Cricetulus griseus: one gene and its partner. The protein of the gene in region 1 purifies or fractionates together with the protein of each later gene. This does not show direct contact. Links are inferred from orthologs where the notes say so. Each region holds a gene or a part of one and is shown on either strand. Other genes may lie near its edges. The genes, in order: Rictor and Prr5l.

Evidence for each region.
Region 2: the proteins of Rictor (region 1) and Prr5l purify together in Homo sapiens (affinity purification with western blotting; 3 studies listed by BioGRID and IntAct, with this or other methods). This does not show direct contact. The link is inferred for Cricetulus griseus from reciprocal best matches to the Homo sapiens genes RICTOR and PRR5L.

Annotation. Positions count from the first base shown.
Region 1 is NC_048595.1:340,512,777-340,521,726, forward strand, and holds part of Rictor (rapamycin-insensitive companion of mTOR), read left to right. Parts: intron 1-828; coding exon 829-921; intron 922-1,299; coding exon 1,300-1,406; intron 1,407-1,751; coding exon 1,752-1,981; intron 1,982-4,292; coding exon 4,293-5,301; intron 5,302-5,577; coding exon 5,578-5,649; intron 5,650-7,377; coding exon 7,378-7,555; intron 7,556-8,524; coding exon 8,525-8,609; intron 8,610-8,950. UniProt on the Homo sapiens protein: Component of the mechanistic target of rapamycin complex 2 (mTORC2), which transduces signals from growth factors to pathways involved in proliferation, cytoskeletal organization, lipogenesis and anabolic output.
Region 2 is NC_048599.1:75,855,776-75,864,725, forward strand, and holds part of Prr5l (proline-rich protein 5-like), read left to right. Parts: intron 1-4,728; 5' UTR 4,729-4,845; coding exon 4,846-5,009; intron 5,010-6,168; coding exon 6,169-6,249; intron 6,250-8,950. UniProt on the Homo sapiens protein: Associates with the mTORC2 complex that regulates cellular processes including survival and organization of the cytoskeleton.

The DNA of each region.
Region 1 (8,950 bases):
TGATTTGTTGGATAGAGTTAGCCTCAGCTCAGGTCTGTTTACTGAAGAAATTATAATCAAATATGACAAAACTAAACTGCCTTCTTTCTTGAACCAGAGGTTGAGCTGAGCCTTAATACAGATTAGTTAGTGACTGTAGCACAAATAATAACAACCCAGAGACAGATATTGGGGTTAAAGGTGAAGATCAGAAAAACAAAGCGGCCAGCCACTAGAGAGTTCTCACTTCTACCAAATGCTCAGACTGAAGGGGGATCCACTGAACCTCAAATTGCATCTCCAGACTACACTGCTCTCCACCAAGCCTCAGAATCCTAGACTGCTTTGCTCTCCTCAACATGGCTGGAGACTAATTGTCATATGAGACCCTTTGCTTCTTCCTTATATAGTATGTCAATAGTGTTGGGACTAAAGGCATGAGCTCTGTTACTGTTTTTGACTGATTGATTCACTCTCGTGTAGCCCTGGTGGCCTTGAACTCACAGAGATTTATCTGCCTCTTTTTCCTGAGTCCTGGGATTAAGGATGTGAGCCACCACTGCCCAGCTTCTATGTCTGTCCAGTGTGGGTGGCTTTGCATTCTGATCCTTCAAACAAGTTTTATTAAAGCATAAACAGTATATCACCACAAATGACAAGTCTAGAATGTGAACTCATAGTACCTGTGCTCTATGTGGCTTCTAAATAAGCTGTATGTAAAGTCACTCTTGGAATTCTATATGCAGAAATGACGAAAGCAAACCTTTGGTGGACTTGTGCCAAAGTATGAGGAAATGTTTTAGAAGGATAATATATTGTTATTTACATGATACTTCTTTTTTTCTTCAGAATGTTATCACAGAACTCTGTCATAATGTTCGCACTCCAGACTTGGATAAATGGGAAGAAATTAAAAAGCTGAAAGCTGCTCTTTGGGCCTTGGTTTGTAATAAACATTTCTGATCTTTGCAGTGATTATGGGTTCTGTTTTTTAGGCTCCTCCCACTAATATTAAATAAACTAAAATTACTTTACCTTGAACATGTTCTTAGATTAATATTTAAAGACCAGATTGTTCCTACCAATTTAAAGGTTTTTCTTATGCTGAAGAAATAGATGATTAAGCAATTAGTGTTTTTGCCTCTGTTCTCCTAAGACAAACAGTATGTTTGCTTACTCCTAGCACACCTCATTTAAGATTTTGTTTTTACCTTGCATAGACTTTTCTCTCTTTTATAGTTGGCTTTAAATGTCTTTCTTGGTGGCTTTTAAAGTTTCTTCAAAATATTAGTCATAAATATTTGATATTATTTCTTTTAGGGAAATATTGGCTCATCGAATTGGGGGCTTAATTTGCTACAGGAAGAAAATGTGATTCCAGATATACTAAAACTTGCGAAACAGTGTGAGGTTCTTTCCATCAGAGGGTATGTTACGTACCTAAGTCTTTCTAGTGAATATATTCTTATTCACAAATAGATGTAAGACAAAGTATTTCAAGATTCATATTGTCAATTTAAATATACTTTGCTAGGATCCTGCTGTACTGCCTTTATTTTGTTTTAATTATTTTTATTAGGGAGACTTACATGGTTTTCATTCATTCCCCCACTAGATTTAATGTGCTGTTTTCCACAATCAAACAATTTTTAAATGTCTTCTTAAGGAAAATGTAGATATCCATGTAGCCTACTATTTTATGGTTATTTAAAAATCTCACCTTGGAATTATAAACTTTTTACTATGTTTTTTTTTTCCCTCTACCCCTATAGGACCTGTGTATATGTTCTTGGGCTCATAGCTAAAACCAAGCAAGGCTGTGATATTCTAAAATGTCACAGCTGGGATTCTGTGAGGCACAATCGCAAGCATCTGTGGCCAGTGGTTCCAGATGATGTGGAACAGCTCTGCAATGAGCTTTCTTCTGTACCCAGCACCCTCAGTTTGAACTCCGAGTCGACCAGCTCTAGACATAACAGTGAAAGTGAGTCTGCACCATCAAGTGAGTATTGTGATGGATTCACATGAATTAATCTGTTGGTGATTTTACTTGTGAGTTCAAAGCTTAAATGTATTGTTACATTCTAAGTTCACATTTCTCTTTTCTGCTTAGTTTGTAGACTATTAGGAGATAGTCTTGTGTGACCTGGAACTTGCTAAATAGACAAGGATGATTTTCTTCCTGCTTCTGTCTAATGAGTGCTGGGAGTACAGGCATGTAGCCACACTCAGGTAGAAGTGTACTTTTTCAAAGAGAATGGCTTGATGATGATATCCTATTAAAGGCTGCTGTGCTTTTTAAATAGCTTGTGGGAATTATGTGCTCAGAGATGATAATAAGTCATGCACCAGAGACACTACTTCTCTTTGTTCTCAGACCAAACAAACCTAGCCAGAATTTGCCTCATGTACTCAATACTTTCCTTCTTTTTCTTAAGTATACGTAAATGAAGTAGAATGCATGAGCTAAGAGAGTCATATCTTCATTAGATATTACATGGTGTGGGAACCACAAGGGTAGCTCAGTAGTAGAGCGCTTTTCTGTTTTAGGTGAATCTCTGGTTTTATGCCCCAGAACTGGAGGAGAAAAGGAAATTGGTGGAAGTGTTAAAAGATAGGATGTCAGAAATAAACGATGTATGAAACGGATGTTTCAAGAGTTGAGTGCTATGGGTTGCACAGAATTTAAGGAATGCTTCTTAGATTTAAGATGATGATAAATACAGGCCAGGCATAGTGGCGCACATCTTTAATCCCAGCACTTGGTGGGCAGAGGCAGGTGGATCCCCATGAGTTCTATGCCAGTGTGGTCTACAGAGTAAGGACAGCCAGGGCTGTTATACAGAGAAAACCTGTCTCAAGAAATGCAAAGGAAGGAAAAAACACAAAAAGAAAAGGTGATAACAAACTAGGCCTCGTTGCCCATGACTTTCATTCTAGCTCTTCAGGAGGCTCATGCATTAGACTCTTGAGGCCTGTCTAGTCTGAAGGATAAGGCCAAGGCTAAGTGTTTTCACCAGTACCCATGAGGAAAGGAAGGAATGGAGAGGGGTTGGGTCTGCAAGTATATCTTTATAATCCTAGTATGTAAGCCTAAGGCAAGAAGACTGTTGAAAGTTTAAGACTAGTCAGGGATACATTCTGAACTTGACGTCAGCTTGGGCAGCAGTGTAAAATCATTTCTCAAAAAATAAAGATAATCTAACATATATTGGACCATATTTCACCAAGTCCATGATGCCTTGAATTATAAGAAGTACTAATATTTATATTCCACCACAAAAAGAGGAAAAAAATCTTGTCCCTTACACCACTTCATACTCTTTATTACATGGTAAAACTTGGTTTTTGAGAGATTGCACATGAAGATATATCTTAGCGTTCACAGACATAGAAAGCTAGTGTAATATGCAAGTTCATTTAGGGTTTTACTTTTGCCTTTTTTGAAAATATATTTAAAGTTCTTAATAATTACTCAGTAGAACAGTTACAAATTGAATAAATCTTATTGGTACCGTTAGACACCTGGGATAACTGAGGTATTACAGTTAGACACTAAGTTTGGTGAGTGCACATGGACAGTAAACATAATTGGTTTAAATATGAAGCTTATATGTATGTCTTTGTTAACCATTAGTATGGTTATCCTTCCATTTCTGTATGAGATCCCATACTTCCACCTCTGTATCCAAATCCGCTGATACTTAAATCCTTTGACTTATATACAAATCTCCGAAATAATTTGTATCTTTGGATCATTTAATACCTAATCTAGACACTCAATAGTGAATTTTATTCTTAAAGGATAATAGCAAGAAAAATATATGTACTTATTTAATTTAAGCACCTTTCTGTGAGTATTTTTGGTCTCTGGTTAGTTGAACTCATACGTACACAATTCATTGACTTGGAAGGCTGCAGTGTATTTAAAGTTTAGGAATCTGTTTCTAAGAAGAATGTGTCCTGCCACTGTGATGGGAAGAAGAAACCATGCCATTCTGAACTCACAGAATGAGCATGCTCAAGGGATGGATGTCTCCTGCTTTCTCTTTAATTTTAGCCAGAATATTTGGGAAAAAAAAAACTTTAATATATGCTGTACTAGGATAAGTCTGTAGTTATTCTTTAGAAATGACAGATACTCACATGACAACAATCTTGTATTTTATTCATATTCTAACTCTGATCTTTAGGGGACATTTTTATTTCTTAATGTTCCCCCCAGATGATTTGCTTAAAAGGTGGGATAGCGCTGAGCATTGTGATGAACTCTTCATAGTTGCATGCTTTGACAGCTAGCTCTCCATTTACAGGCATGTTCATACTGGAGGATGACCGGTTCGGCAGCAGCTCCACCAGTACATTTTTCCTTGACATCAATGAAGATGCAGAGCCAGCATTTTATGACCGACCTGGACCCATAAAGGATAAAAATTCATTTCCTTTTTTTGCCTCTAGCAAACTTGTAAAGAATCGTATCTTAAATTCACTTACTTTGCCTAATAAAAAACACCGCAGTAGCAGTGATCCAAAAGGAGGAAAACTGTCATCTGAAAATAAGACAAGCAACCGGCGAATCAGAACACTTACAGAGCCCAGTGTTGACTTTAATCACAGTGACGACTTTACACCCATCTCCACAGCACAGAAAACATTGCAGCTTGAAACTTCTTTTGTTGGGAATAAGCACCTTGAAGACACTGGCAGCACTCCAAGTATTGGAGAGAATGACTTGAAATTCCCCAAGAGTTTTGGTGCAGAGAATCACAGAGAAAACACAAGCCGGGAGAGGTTGGTTGTAGAAACCTCAACAAGCTCACATATGAAGATCCGCAGCCAAAGCTTTAACACAGACACTACAACAAGTGGCATAAGTTCAATGAGCTCAAGTCCCTCTCGAGAGACAGTTGGTGTAGACCCTACAACTATGGACACAGATTGTGGAAGTATGAGTACTGTGGTAAGTACTAAAACTGTTAAGACAAGCCACTATTTGACACCACAGTCTAACCATCTGTCTCTCTCCAAATCGAACTCAGTGTCCCTGGTGCCACCAGGTTCTTCTCATACACTTCCTAGAAGAGCACAGTCCCTTAAAGCGCCCTCCATTGCAACAATAAAAAGTCTAGCAGATTGCAACTTTAGCTACACAAGTTCCAGAGATGCCTTTGGCTATGCTACATTGAAAAGATTACAGCAGCAAAGAATGCACCCATCCTTATCACACTCCGAAGCTTTGGCATCCCCAGCAAAAGACGTACTGTTTACTGATACCATCACCATGAAGGCCAACAGTTTTGAGTCAAGACTGACTCCAAGCAGGTGAGCAATACGTGCTTAGAAATAAGTGAAAGTGGTCGAATTTTAATAGATAGAAATGTAAGACATTAGTCAGCTTGAGCACCACAGAGGCCAAGTCTCAGAACTGATCCATTTACCACAGTAGGCTGTAAGCTCCTTGTTACCTGATATGATTTGAAATGGATTCTTGCAGCTGCGAGGGGGGAAAATAAACTCCATTAGGCCCTGAAAATAAACTTGTTTTGCAAGGTTACACAAGTCACAAGCTTTTTTTTATCTATTTCTCGCTTCTGCAAGGATCGATTTTAAAAAGAAGCATGTCGGGGGAATCAGGAGCTTAAGACCTACAATAACAAACAACCTTTTCAGGTAGGTCAATTTAAAGCTCCAAAAGTTGACCTCTTAATATTTTTTAAAATAACTGAAGATGTCAGTTAATTATTTTAATTTGTTTTAAGTACATGTCATTATTAAATAGAAACCTAATAAACACAAAATGAATTCCTGGCTCCTCAATATTAAGCAAAAGTTTCTATTTATATATTAAATATTCTATATTTAGATCAAGCTATTAATAGTATGAAGTTTAGGGTTTTTTTTAATGTTTTTGTTGTTAGACTTCTCATAGTTGAATTATATTCATTTAAATGATTTATATCCCTTTAAATAGATAACTAGGTGTCAAGTAGTTAGACCAGTATCTGGTAAAAAATAAACACTAGTTTGCAGGATATTCTCACTATCAATATAATAGTTATTTTTATTTATATCATCCATCAGTCTCTCACATCTGATTTTTAGTAGCATTTTTTTATAAAGAAGGTGCTGGTAACTGATAGTAAATTTCGTCCCCTCTTAAAAAATGGTACAGTAACGGTTGGTATAACTAGAAGTCACTATCTCTGGCATCTTCGTGAATCCATAATAGAACCACACGCCTCTCAGCAAGCCGTGGATAAAGAGCTCCAGCCAAGAAACCGAGCTTATGAGTTGTCTGGTGGAGACTAGGCTAAATGAGTGCTTGTAAACTCTTAAAATGTTACTTTCTAAGCAGAAACAAACTAACGTCTTGAAGGTTTTCTATAAAAACCCAATAAATAAAACGGTTTAAAATGGAGCTGCTGATGATTGAAATAGAATTGGAAAGTGAAATACCCTCATAATCCCTCTGACTCAAGTAGTCCTTAGAGAGTTTTATAGAATCAAAGAAACTAAACCATACCATTTGAAAAACATTGACTTCTTTCATACAATTCATAAATTTCAGATATGAATACTGTTGGAAATTAGGAATTGTTTTTGCTACTATAACCTTAGTAGCTACTATTTAAAGCACATTCCTTTTGTGTGTTTATGTGAAGTAATCCTTTGATTTCCATTTTACACTTTATAAGACTTGGTTTTCCAGTCAGTAATGTGAGACTTTGAATGGTGCTTCATATATTTGAGAAGGCATATACAGAGTGAACTGTGTCTATTGCATGAATAGTGATCTGTATGTCAGAAGTGTATCTGATAGAGATGTCCACATACCATGGTTAGGGAATCATTTGTGAAGAGTACCCTATAAAGAAAGACTAGAGTTCTGTGAGATAGCCCTTGTAATATTTACAAATGATACCCTTGTAATATTTACTATGGTATGTGTACCTTCTATGCTACACAAATCTTATGCGATAAAGCACTTTTCATAATAAATTACCTGGTGTTAATAGATATACCTTTAGCAGTATAGCAAGTCCAGCAACCTCTGCTGACTGCACAGGTAGTCTTTGAGCTGTACTTGTCTATAGGTTAGTTTCCTTTATTGCTTCTGCATGCTGATGTTGCTCTCCTTACCCACCTTCTCATCTTCACCTGGGAGAACATAGCAGTTGTTCTTTTGGTGACATTTAACACTACTGGCAACCTGTGTATTGGCCAATAGCAGCTAATGTTTAAGTGCTTATGTGTTCCCAGCAGACTTAAGATGGTACTGCTTCATGTTTGACCAGCTACTTTGATAGTGGTATAAGATTAGGGTTTTTTTTTTTTGTTAATATACTTAATAGTACAAATCAAGAAGCTAATTTAAGGTTTTTTTTTGTGATGTTATAGGTTTATGAAAGCTTTAAGTTACGCATCATTAGATAAAGAAGATTTATTAAGTCCTATTAATCAAAATACCCTGCAGCGATCCTCCTCAGTTAGGTCCATGGTATCCAGTGCTACATATGGAGGTTCTGATGACTACATTGGACTTGCCCTTCCAGTGGACATCAATGATATATTCCAGGTAACATTCAGAGTACTACTGTTTTCCTACGAGCTGGCTTCCTGCTGGTTTTGTTTTGCTTTTTATTGTTCTGTAACTGCTTATTAGAACTTTAGTTTATAGTGGATACATTTACTATGGGAAAGAAAGATAAAGGTTTTTAAGAATCCCACGTTCTTTACGCTTACTCGTGTCTTGTGAGTAAGAATCTTGTTTAGTCTCCAGTCTCTGAAATGCTAACCTTGTCTGACTGTAATAAATTAGCATCTTGTTTGATTTATGTGTAGTCTATAGAAGTTTAGTAAATTCCTAACAGTCTTTTAGATTCATGTAACTTACTAATTTTTAGTCATTGATCCCTTTTTACACTCAGAACGGCCATGCTCCAGTAAGATAATACACAATTTCTAGTGGGTAGCCTTGAACTCACAGAGATTCATCTGCCTCTGTCTCCTGAATCCTGAGATTAAAGGTATGTGCCACCACTGCCTGGCCTCTAGCTGTGGCTGGCTAGCTTTACACTTTGGTTTTTAGGCAAGCTTTATTAGATCATAAACACAGTATCACCACAATAGGAGTGCTCATTGAATTTATAGCTCAGCTGGCAGCCAGCAAGCCCCAGCAGTCATTCTTTTTCCACCCTTCACAGCTTAGTTTCTCAAGCACATGGCCACACCCAGCATGTTCTGTCGATGAAGGACATTGAAACTTCTCATGCTTTTACAGCAAGCACTCTTCACCCACTGAACCATCCCTAGGGCCTAGATATTTTATATAAACACTTAACTATTTGAATACCCATTTAATTCATCAAGAGCATGATGGTTCAGAGACAGTTATTTGATTATGTTTTGGTAAACTTTAGTAAATTTTGCCTTATAGATTTATGCTACAATAATTCTATTTGTTGCATTTCCCTGAATTCCCTTCATGTTCCTAAGATGAATTTCTTTGTATGGTGAAGCTGACCATGCTCTGTATGCATTTTAGATAAAGGATATTCCTTATTTTCAATCAAAGCACGTGCCTCCACCAGATGACCGAGGTGCAAGAATGTTTTCCCACGATTCAGGAGGTAATGTGTTCTCTTGGTTCTCATGCGACTCCTTACCTTGAAAATGAATTTCTCTTTTTAGTGAGGTGACAACAAAAATTAGGCTTACTAAACTTTGGGGTTAAAGTAAAACTAAACCAAAATAACTCAGTCAACTAAAAATTAAAACACAGTTGTTTTTCTAGTGAGAATCCCCAATCTCTCAAGTTGATAAAACCCAGAATAGTTCTTTCTTAAAGTGCAAGAGGAATGTTAAAACTAGTTTCATGGGTCAGAGGCATATTTTTTTTTTTTTTTTTGCAATGAAGGAAATGGGGATTTGCTTATTTTTTACACATGTTATTCTGTGCTATGAACTGCTA
Region 2 (8,950 bases), on another chromosome or scaffold:
TTAAGTAAATTCAAAACTCTTCGGTTGCACAGGCCACATATTAAGTGTTTAGTGGCTCTATATGGCCATGGGTGACATCATGGATAGCATCAGTTTGTATACTGTCAGCTTTCAGGTAGCCTTTCACTTCTTGTTTGCAGACAGCACGAATGTTTACTGTCTTTTTTATATAGGAGCAAATATGCCATTGCCCAGAAAGTGGGAGCATGGCTTTCTGAGGCAGTGTTGTATATTACTCAAGCTGCTGGCAGCTCTCTGTCATGATTGAAATGTGTGCACAGTTTCCAAGTGTGAATCAGAATGAGAACATTTTGAAATATTTAAGAAAAAAAGACAAAACCAATCACCTGGGCTGGTACATTATGGGGCCAGGCTTAAATATAGAACCTTCTTGACCAGCTCTGGGTTACTTACAGCCCTCCAGTCCTGGCTGGGTGAGTCACTCTGCCTCCCTTTCTTCATTAAGGGTAGAATCCCTGCTCTGCCTGCTTCGTGTGGTTGGGTGACAATATTTGTATGTGTGTTTGTTTTCTTGTTTATAGAAAAGAGTCTCTGGTCACCCAGGCTGCCACTGAACTCCCTATGCACTTCTGACCTCCTGTCTCCATCTCTGCAGTGCTTAGATTACAGACATGTACCATCACACAGGTTGATACAGTGCTAGTTCATGCAACATGGGCACTCCTCTGACAGACCTGCATCCCCAGCCTGGGGTTGGGTGAGATTTAGAAGCAGGGGATGTATGAGTTAGGGCAGTGAAGCCTCAGTACCTAAAGCTGTGTGTGAGTCACCAAAGGCCGAAGAAACAAGAGTCAATTTCTGTGACAGTGTCAGGGTCCTGGCTGGAGGCAATGTTTCAGATTCTGGGGAAGCTGTTTTCCCACTGCTGTGGGGGCTGGGCAATCTTGACACAATACCAAACAATGTTCTTTTATTGATTTGGTCAGTCCTGTGTCACACTTGCCACTGGCCAGGCACTGTTGAAGGCAAATGCTTCACAAATGCTTCCAGTACCCCAAGGATTCACTGTTGGTGTACCCCTTTCCCAGGGAGAAAAATCAAGCTTCAAAGGTCAAGTACCTTGTCCAAGGTCACACAGTGGGTGATGGTGACTGTCTCTCTGACTGGCACAGCCTGCATTTCCTTGTGGTGTCCTTTCTCTTCCTTTGTTCCTTCTGTCCCGATCCTGTGTGGCCGTGGAGTTGATTTTGGTAGATCTCTTCTCTCAGAGGTTGAGATTTAGGTTTTGATATGAAGGCGGGTGATTGCCATTTCAAACTCAGTAGCTTTGATTCTGGGATCCTGTCTCAGTTTAGTAGTGTGGAAGGTGGAGATGGGCTGGAAAGGCGGGCCAACCTTGACACGTCAGTGACTTGCCTCTAGCTAGCTGTATGCCCTCAGGTTGGTTACTTCTCTAACTTCAGATGGCATTTTGTGAGGGCTGAATAAGTCACCTTAGTGACAGGGCCCAGTATCCTATCAGAGAGCTTGTCCATGCTTCATTCATTTTTAACTCTACCTTTGTCTTGAGCAGTGAGTGAGCTAAGGCTTATGGGTTCAGAGTGACCCAATCTCCTGTCTGCCTTCAAGGTCTTCCTACAGTGGCCTCCTGAAGCTGCAGAACTCAGGCCTAGAATTGGGGAATGGAAGTTGTAAGCTGTGTTGGCTTAGTCCTGTGTTGGAGATTTTAGATAAATATGTTTGCTCATTTGCTCTACATTTGTTGGTTCTAAATGACTGCACTCCTAGGACCTGTCTGTCTTGTCACTTCTGACTTGTCATATGTGGGTCAGGACAAGTCAGTGTTTGACGGGCCAGGGCCTTAGCAGGTGTATACAGGGTGTGCCAACCTTACTTCAGGCCCATGTCAACACGTCCTATAGCTTACTCCCTCGGTCTCCATGTGGCTGCTGGGCTCTGTGACAAGCAGGGTTGGTGTGGACCACATACTTCCTTCATCTTTTCAGCATTTGAAGAAGACAAAGTTTGGGGGGCTGTAAACAAATCAGAGGGAACTCCTTGCTGTGTGTGTCCTTGACTTGGGGTGTGGGGACTATGGTCATTGATAATCCTTTGGGCTGAAAGTTACCCTTATTTATAATGGGGCAGGCCATGCTGCTGGAGCTGTGCCATGGCCAAGACTGCCTTGGGTGCTGTGCAGGGTGCTCAGATAGCTTGGAATGAGATCCGGGTGCTGTAGCTGAGACATGAGAGGGAGGAGCCACCTTAGATACTCTGGAATCTCAGCTCCCAGGAGAAGTGGCATGTGTGCAACCCATGACAACGTGTCCTGTGCAGTCTTCTGCTTCCTCAAGCTAGTGCCCCAGAGTGGGCAGCAGCTTCATTGTCTTTGGTTTGAGACCCTTACACAGTGAGTTAATATCCGGGAATCCCAGTGAGTTGCATTTCACAAGCCTCCCAAAGCAGGGCCCAGGGAGGCATCTTGTCTAAGTAAAAGGACCTTTGCTGCCAAGTAAAAACTCCAGCCAGCCAGTATTATTATTCTTAGGGTTCCATGGTTTTATTTCCCCTTCCTCTCATCACTGGTGTGCATAGTTCCTTCCAGATTTTGGGGTAATTGGGAACCTGTTGAAACCCTCTCAGGAACATAACAGGCTTCTGCAACAGTTATTGGTCAACTTTGATAACTGTTGACTTTCTCAGTGTGCAGGGTTTCCAGGCAAAGACTGTTTAAGAACATGGCCCACACAATTCCTACCCTTAAGGAGAGCAGTTACAGAGCTACAAAGGGGGACTAGCCATCCTTCTTGTGGCCCTTGGACTCTTGAATTCGGTGTCAGTAGGCCCATTGCCTACACAAAGCCATCAGCACCTCCATGCCTTCCTGAAGAGTTGCATTGTCATGGTGCTGGTTGTGTTGTCCCTCCCTGTCCGCCAATGCTGCAGCCAAGGCTGTGGGACTTCCCTTGCCAACCTGCAGGCTAACTCTTGTGCACTCATGGATGGAATCTTACTTTTCTTTCTTAGTTAGTATCTGGGACTTATCTGAGTTAACTTGACCAGAAGTAACAGTTAAAAACAAACAAACAAAAACAAAGGCACTCCCTAAGTGAAATCTACTCAACTGTTTAAGAGAAAGTGCCTTTGGCTGTTTACAGCAATATTCCAGTCTGCTCTAGTGGCTGCAATAATGGGTCCAAAAGAGAAGAGCATGGAGGGAACTAGCTAGCCCTGAGGCTAGTTCCTGAGGCTAGAATGGGTGCTCTACCATTCTGTTGGGCATGTCAGCTGATCTCATTTTATCCCTCCCAGTCCTGTGAGGTTGGTCCTTTAGCACCTGAGAACACTGCGCTCACAGTGTTTGAAGTGGTACAACTTGGGACCTGTGTTAGTTCATGAACCCCAGAATGAAAGCTCATTGAAAAGCCATTGGTTCCCACCAGAGCTACAAATCGTCTTGTGTTTTGCTACAAGGAACTGAACATTGACCCCAAAGAGCTTAAGGCATGCACACATGCTAAGCAAGTGTTCTACGTCTGAGTTACATTCCCAGCACTCTTTACTTAAGACAAATGTTTATTTTCTCTCTCTCTCTCTCTCTCTCTCTCTCTCTCTCTCTCTCTCTCTCTCTCTCTCTCTCTCTCTCGTGTGTGTGTGTGTGTGTGTGTGTGTGTGTGTGTGTGTGTGTGTGTGTGTGTGTGTAGCATACTTGGTGGAAGTCCAAGGACAATTTGTGGAAGTTGGCTCTCCTTTTATCATGTGGGTCTTAGGGATTGAATTCCAGGTTGTCATACTTGGTGGCAGATACCTTTACCTGCTGATCCATCTTGCTGACACTTTTTATAATTTTTTACTTTTTATTTTGAGGTGGGGGTCTAATTAAATTATTCAGGTTGACCTTAACAAACTCTGTAGCCCAGGAATGCTTTTGATTTCAGATTCTTTTGCTTTAGCCTTCTGAGTTGCTGAAATTACAAGTCTGCACACTAGCCCTGCTCAGGAACAAGATTATAAGACTCAACCTGACTGAATTAGTTGGATCTAGAAATGCACAAAGCCCAAGGAAGATCATCTGGTAAAGGAGAACAAGAATTGGCTTAAAAGCCTGGAAAGAGACCTGGGGTGGGAGAGATGGGACAGTCCCACGGCTGTCATTTTATCATTGCCCAGTACCTCAGTGACTGGAGCTTATAGGCTCAATATGTATTTATTGAATGAACAGGCATAGGAATTGTTAGTCATCTTTACCATAGAGTGGGAATCTCTGGAAGGCAGGGCCTGGGCCTTGGCGATTTGGGGTGCTTGACATGTTACAATGGCTGTTATACAACAAACAGTAAATATATCCTGATGGACTGCATAACACATGGCAGGTAGGAAAGGGAGGGCAAGATGTGCCTGAGTGAAGAAACAGTCACGACTTGAGAAATACTGAACAACACGTAGTGACTGATGGAACAGGGGGTGGAAGGAAAAGGAGCTTTTACATTTCACTTAAGGCATTCACAAAGGCTATTCTTCTGTTACGGTTTAGTGTGTATCTCAGTCATAGCATGCTGGCCCATGTTCTAAGTCCTGGGTCCATGCCTAATACACACACACACACACACACACACACACACACACACACACACACACACGAGACAGGAGAGCTTCGGTGGCAATAGAGGCTCTTGCAGTGTCATTGATTTTAGGATCATTTAGCTAGAGAGTCTAGCCAACATCCTTTCGTTACATGTTTTCAGTAGAGGCTGCCTGTCATTTCAGGTGTTGGCTCAGAGGGGGCTTTTAAGAGAACCCAGAAGCAGCGTTGGGAGAAGCCTTTTCTGTGAGTAGCCAGAGACGTCTGGTCCTGAAGACACAGCTCAATCCTCACCTGGACTTATGACCCGAGGCCTTGCTCCCCTCCTGCCCATTGAGTTCCACAAGATGGGCTCCTTCCGCCGTCCTAGACCACGATTTATGAGCTCCCCTGTGCTCAGCGAGCTGCCCCGCTTCCAGGCTGCACGGCAGGCTCTGCAGCTGAGTTCCAACTCTGCCTGGAACAGGTAAGGGCCTGAGGGTCCAGCACCATCAGGGAGGGCTTTGGGGTAATCTGGGGGTGAGCCGAACATCTGCTGCCTCAGAGAGCATTACTCATGAAGTCTGATCATGGTGCAGATGATAAATGGGGCAAGTTCCCCTGTTTTCATAGAGAAGGTAGCTCACTGGGAGTTCTAGCCTATCAGGGTGCATTTTGCCAGCCTGGGATCATTGACTTAGAATTTATAGTTCCAGTTTATGCCGCTTAACACCCTACACTGGGTGAGTATCTAAGGGTGGGGTCTTTCAGATGACCTTATATCACCTGTTTCCCCTTTAGGAAGCTTAGGTGTGTTTCTGTGCAAAGCTCAATGAATGGTGTACGTCACATTCTCTTTCTCCTCATCCACTGGTGCTTGGGAGAGGAGATGTAGCTTTGGGAGGTGTCCAGCAGAGCTTGTGGACCATGCCCGGAGCAGATCAGCCCATCAGTACTGCCTTGGAAGTCTGTGGGCCAAAGGTTTCCAAAGCTGTGTTGGCCTCTGGATAAATGAGTATTACTGAATTCTCTGTGCTTTTTCAGTGACAGGCCATCAGGCACACTCAGCTGATGCAGTTCAGCAGGGCTGCCTGGAATGTTCTGGCATTCTGAGGATCACTGTCCTTTGTAAAATTCCTCAGCACAGACAAGATTATAATCAGCTCTTCTGCTGCTGCTGCTGTGGTCCTTTAAGAGCCCAATTTTATGACAGTATACTTCCCTCCCTGGGGTGAAACAAAGGGACAAGGAAAGCCCATGGAAAATTCTATCTTAAAGGCGATAGTTTCAGTCTCTGTCTGAGAAGATGGTGACTTCCCAGTAGTAAGCAGTCAGGGTCAACTCCTGCTGGCAATGAATGCTATCTGGATGCTTGCAGGGCCACAGTGCTGGCAGTTCTCAGAGAGCTGATCTATTGCCTACCTCCATGTGAGCAAGGGGAAGAAGCCCCTGTGACCTGCAAGTGTCCTGGAACTCCCTTTGGATCCTTTGCCCCAGTCTTCTCAGTACTTCTGGGACAGAAGAAGTGGCTGCGAGTATCCCTTAGGGCTTCCCAGCTCTTCCATGACCTCCCCTGGGAGCAGTTTGAAAAAAATGGCCCCTGGAGGCAGATCACCTAACTGGCATGTGTTTCTTTCTCTTTGCAGTGTGCAGACAGCTGTGATCAACGTTTTCAAAGGGGGTGGCTTGCAGAGCAATGAGCTATATGCACTGAACGAGAACATCAGGTACTTACTTGGCTGGCCAAAACCAGTGCTGGTATTTCATTGGGAGGCTTCAGGTCCTCCCCACCTCCCACCCCTACCACCTTGCTTTGTACTTGCTGCTAAATTGTTGTTGTGTGTGTCGTATTGAGACCTTTACCATCTAGACTTCTCATTCTGATATGATGCCTATGCTCATGTGTATTATGCACTTTGTGCTGGGGGTGCAGGTTGATAGATGGTGCTAATTCTGTAAACTGTATTAGGCAATACAGAATTCTGAACACTGTATTAGGCAATATGACTAAGTGTTTGGAGCCAGATTATTTGAGAGTTGTATTTGTTAATAAAGACTTAGTAATAAATATGTACTGCCTTGATGGCCAGGTGCTGGAGCAGACATATGTGGTCCTGCTGTCCTGTTTTTTTTTTTTTTTTTTTTTTTTTTTGGTAGCCTACACTGGCCTTGAACCAACTATATAACTGAGCATGGCCTTGAACTCCTGATCCTTCTGTCTCCACCTCCTGGAGTTCTGGGATAAAAGTATGTACTACCATCTGTGGTTTCTAAGATGCTGGGGAGGGAGCCCAGGGCCTCTTGTGTAGCAGGTAAGCATTCTGTCAACTGAGCCACATCCCAACCTCACTGCCCTGGAGTGGACAGTCAGATGGGAAGATGATTATTAGTCAACCAGTCATGAGCTGTGTGATGACCGAGCTGATATGATGAAAGCATGGTAATATGACTTGGTTTTGCCAAGAGTCCAGGGACAATGGAGGTGATGCTTATGCCACGATCAGAGATTCATTAGGGGAGGAGGGTTCCAGTGGGTAGAATCAGCAGGAGCACAGGTCTCTGTGCTTGCAGTGAAAGGAAGCCTAAGTACACAGGGTGCTGGTGGTGGGATGGTGGCATAGTTGGGCTTGCGTCTTGGTGAAATGAGAGAGGAAACAGGGCTCAGAGCCCCAGGCTCAGCTAAGGCCAGGGAGTTGAATTAGCTAGCTAGCCTTTTAATTCCTCTCTGGGTACCTAAAGGGAGAACATCTAGGCTAAAGACCCAGCCCTGCAGTGGCCCAACAACAAACAAACAAGGCCATTGTTCAAGCCTTGTTTACATTGAATCAAGGTCAGCTGGGTGTTTAAGAGCTCTGTTTTCATTCAAGCCTTTACAGCACATAAGCGAGTGGTTGTGTTACATTTCTACCTCCTATGTACTTGAATTTCTTGTCACAATTACATAAATGTGGAAAGAGACAAAAGAGACCATCTAGCCCAAGGCCTCATTTTACAGGGAAGAAAGTGAGGTCCCAAGAAGGTATGGTGTCAGGGGCAAAGCTGGGTCACCAGCCTCAGACTTGCAAGAAAGAGCCCAGCTTACTCCAAGCCCCGAGTTCCTGCCCCTCCCCACAGGTTCTTTAGTCTCCAGTGGCAATATAAATAAATAATCCAGTGGCGCAGGAATGTGCTAATTGTTTCTCAAGTCAGGACACAGATCCTGACATTGTACTTCAAAGATCTTTGTGGGCAGCTAGGAAGGTGGGAGCTAACCCTGATGTCACCTGCCCCACAGCCCAGAGAAGCAAGCAAGGTGCCAAGGGGCCCTCTGAATGGGGAGACCGGCTGGGAAGCATGCAGAGATGTTCCCAGAAAACCTGAAATTAAAATTTCTTTCTTTATGTAAAAAAATTTTTTTTTCTCATATGAGTGCTCTGTCTGCATGAACACCAGAAGAGGGCACCAGATCTCATTATAGATGGTTGTGAACCCCCATGTGGTTGCTGGGAATTGAATTCAGGACCTGGAAGAGCAGCCAAGGCTCTTAACCTCTCAGCCATCCCTCCAGCCCCATCTTTATGTAAAATTTTTTGGTTTTATTTGTTTTAAACTTATTTCAGGGTCTCACTGTCCTGGAACTCACTACTTAGCCCAAGGTGGCTTCAAACCCACAGAGATCTGCCTGCCTCTGCCTCCTGAGTACTAGAATTAAAGGCAATAGCCACTGCACCCAGCTCTTTTACAATTTTAAGCTTTATTATTTTTTCTGAATTATCTTTGTTTTTTAAAATTGGTATATCTGACTCCCAAAGATTGGTTTTTTGTTTTTTGATTTTTTTGTTTGTTTGTTTTTTCGAGACAGGGTTTCTCTATAGCTTTAGAAGCCTGTCCTGGAACTTGCTTTGTAGACTAGGCTGGCCTCAAATTCACAGAGATCTTCCTTCTCTGCCTTACAAATGCTGGCATTAAAGGAGTATGCCACCACTGCCCAGCCAAAGGTTGGTTTTAAAAATGCAAATTTCTTCAAGCCTTGGTGAAGACCTAACAAAACACCTCTGGGGTCTGAGTGTGGCGTCACTAGGAAGGGCTGTCACAGTGCATATGCAATGATGTTTCTGTTGTAGAAATGTGTTGGGTCCTAGACACCTTGAGGAACTGCCTATGTCCCCACACAGCTATCTCTTTGTTATGTAATTTATAGACTAGAAAACCATGAATGAGAGAAACCATGTGACCTGCCCATGGTTGCGAACTCTAAACGTAGATCCGGATTTGAACTCCTGCCTGAACACCTGCAATCTGAAAATCCACACTAGTCTGCTTGGGTTGCTGTAACAAGTGCCACAGACAGAGTGGCTTAATCAACAGAAATCTATTTATGTTCTGGAGTCCAGAAGCCCAACATCAAGGTGCTGGCCAGCTCAGGTTCTGCTGATAGCTAACATGTGA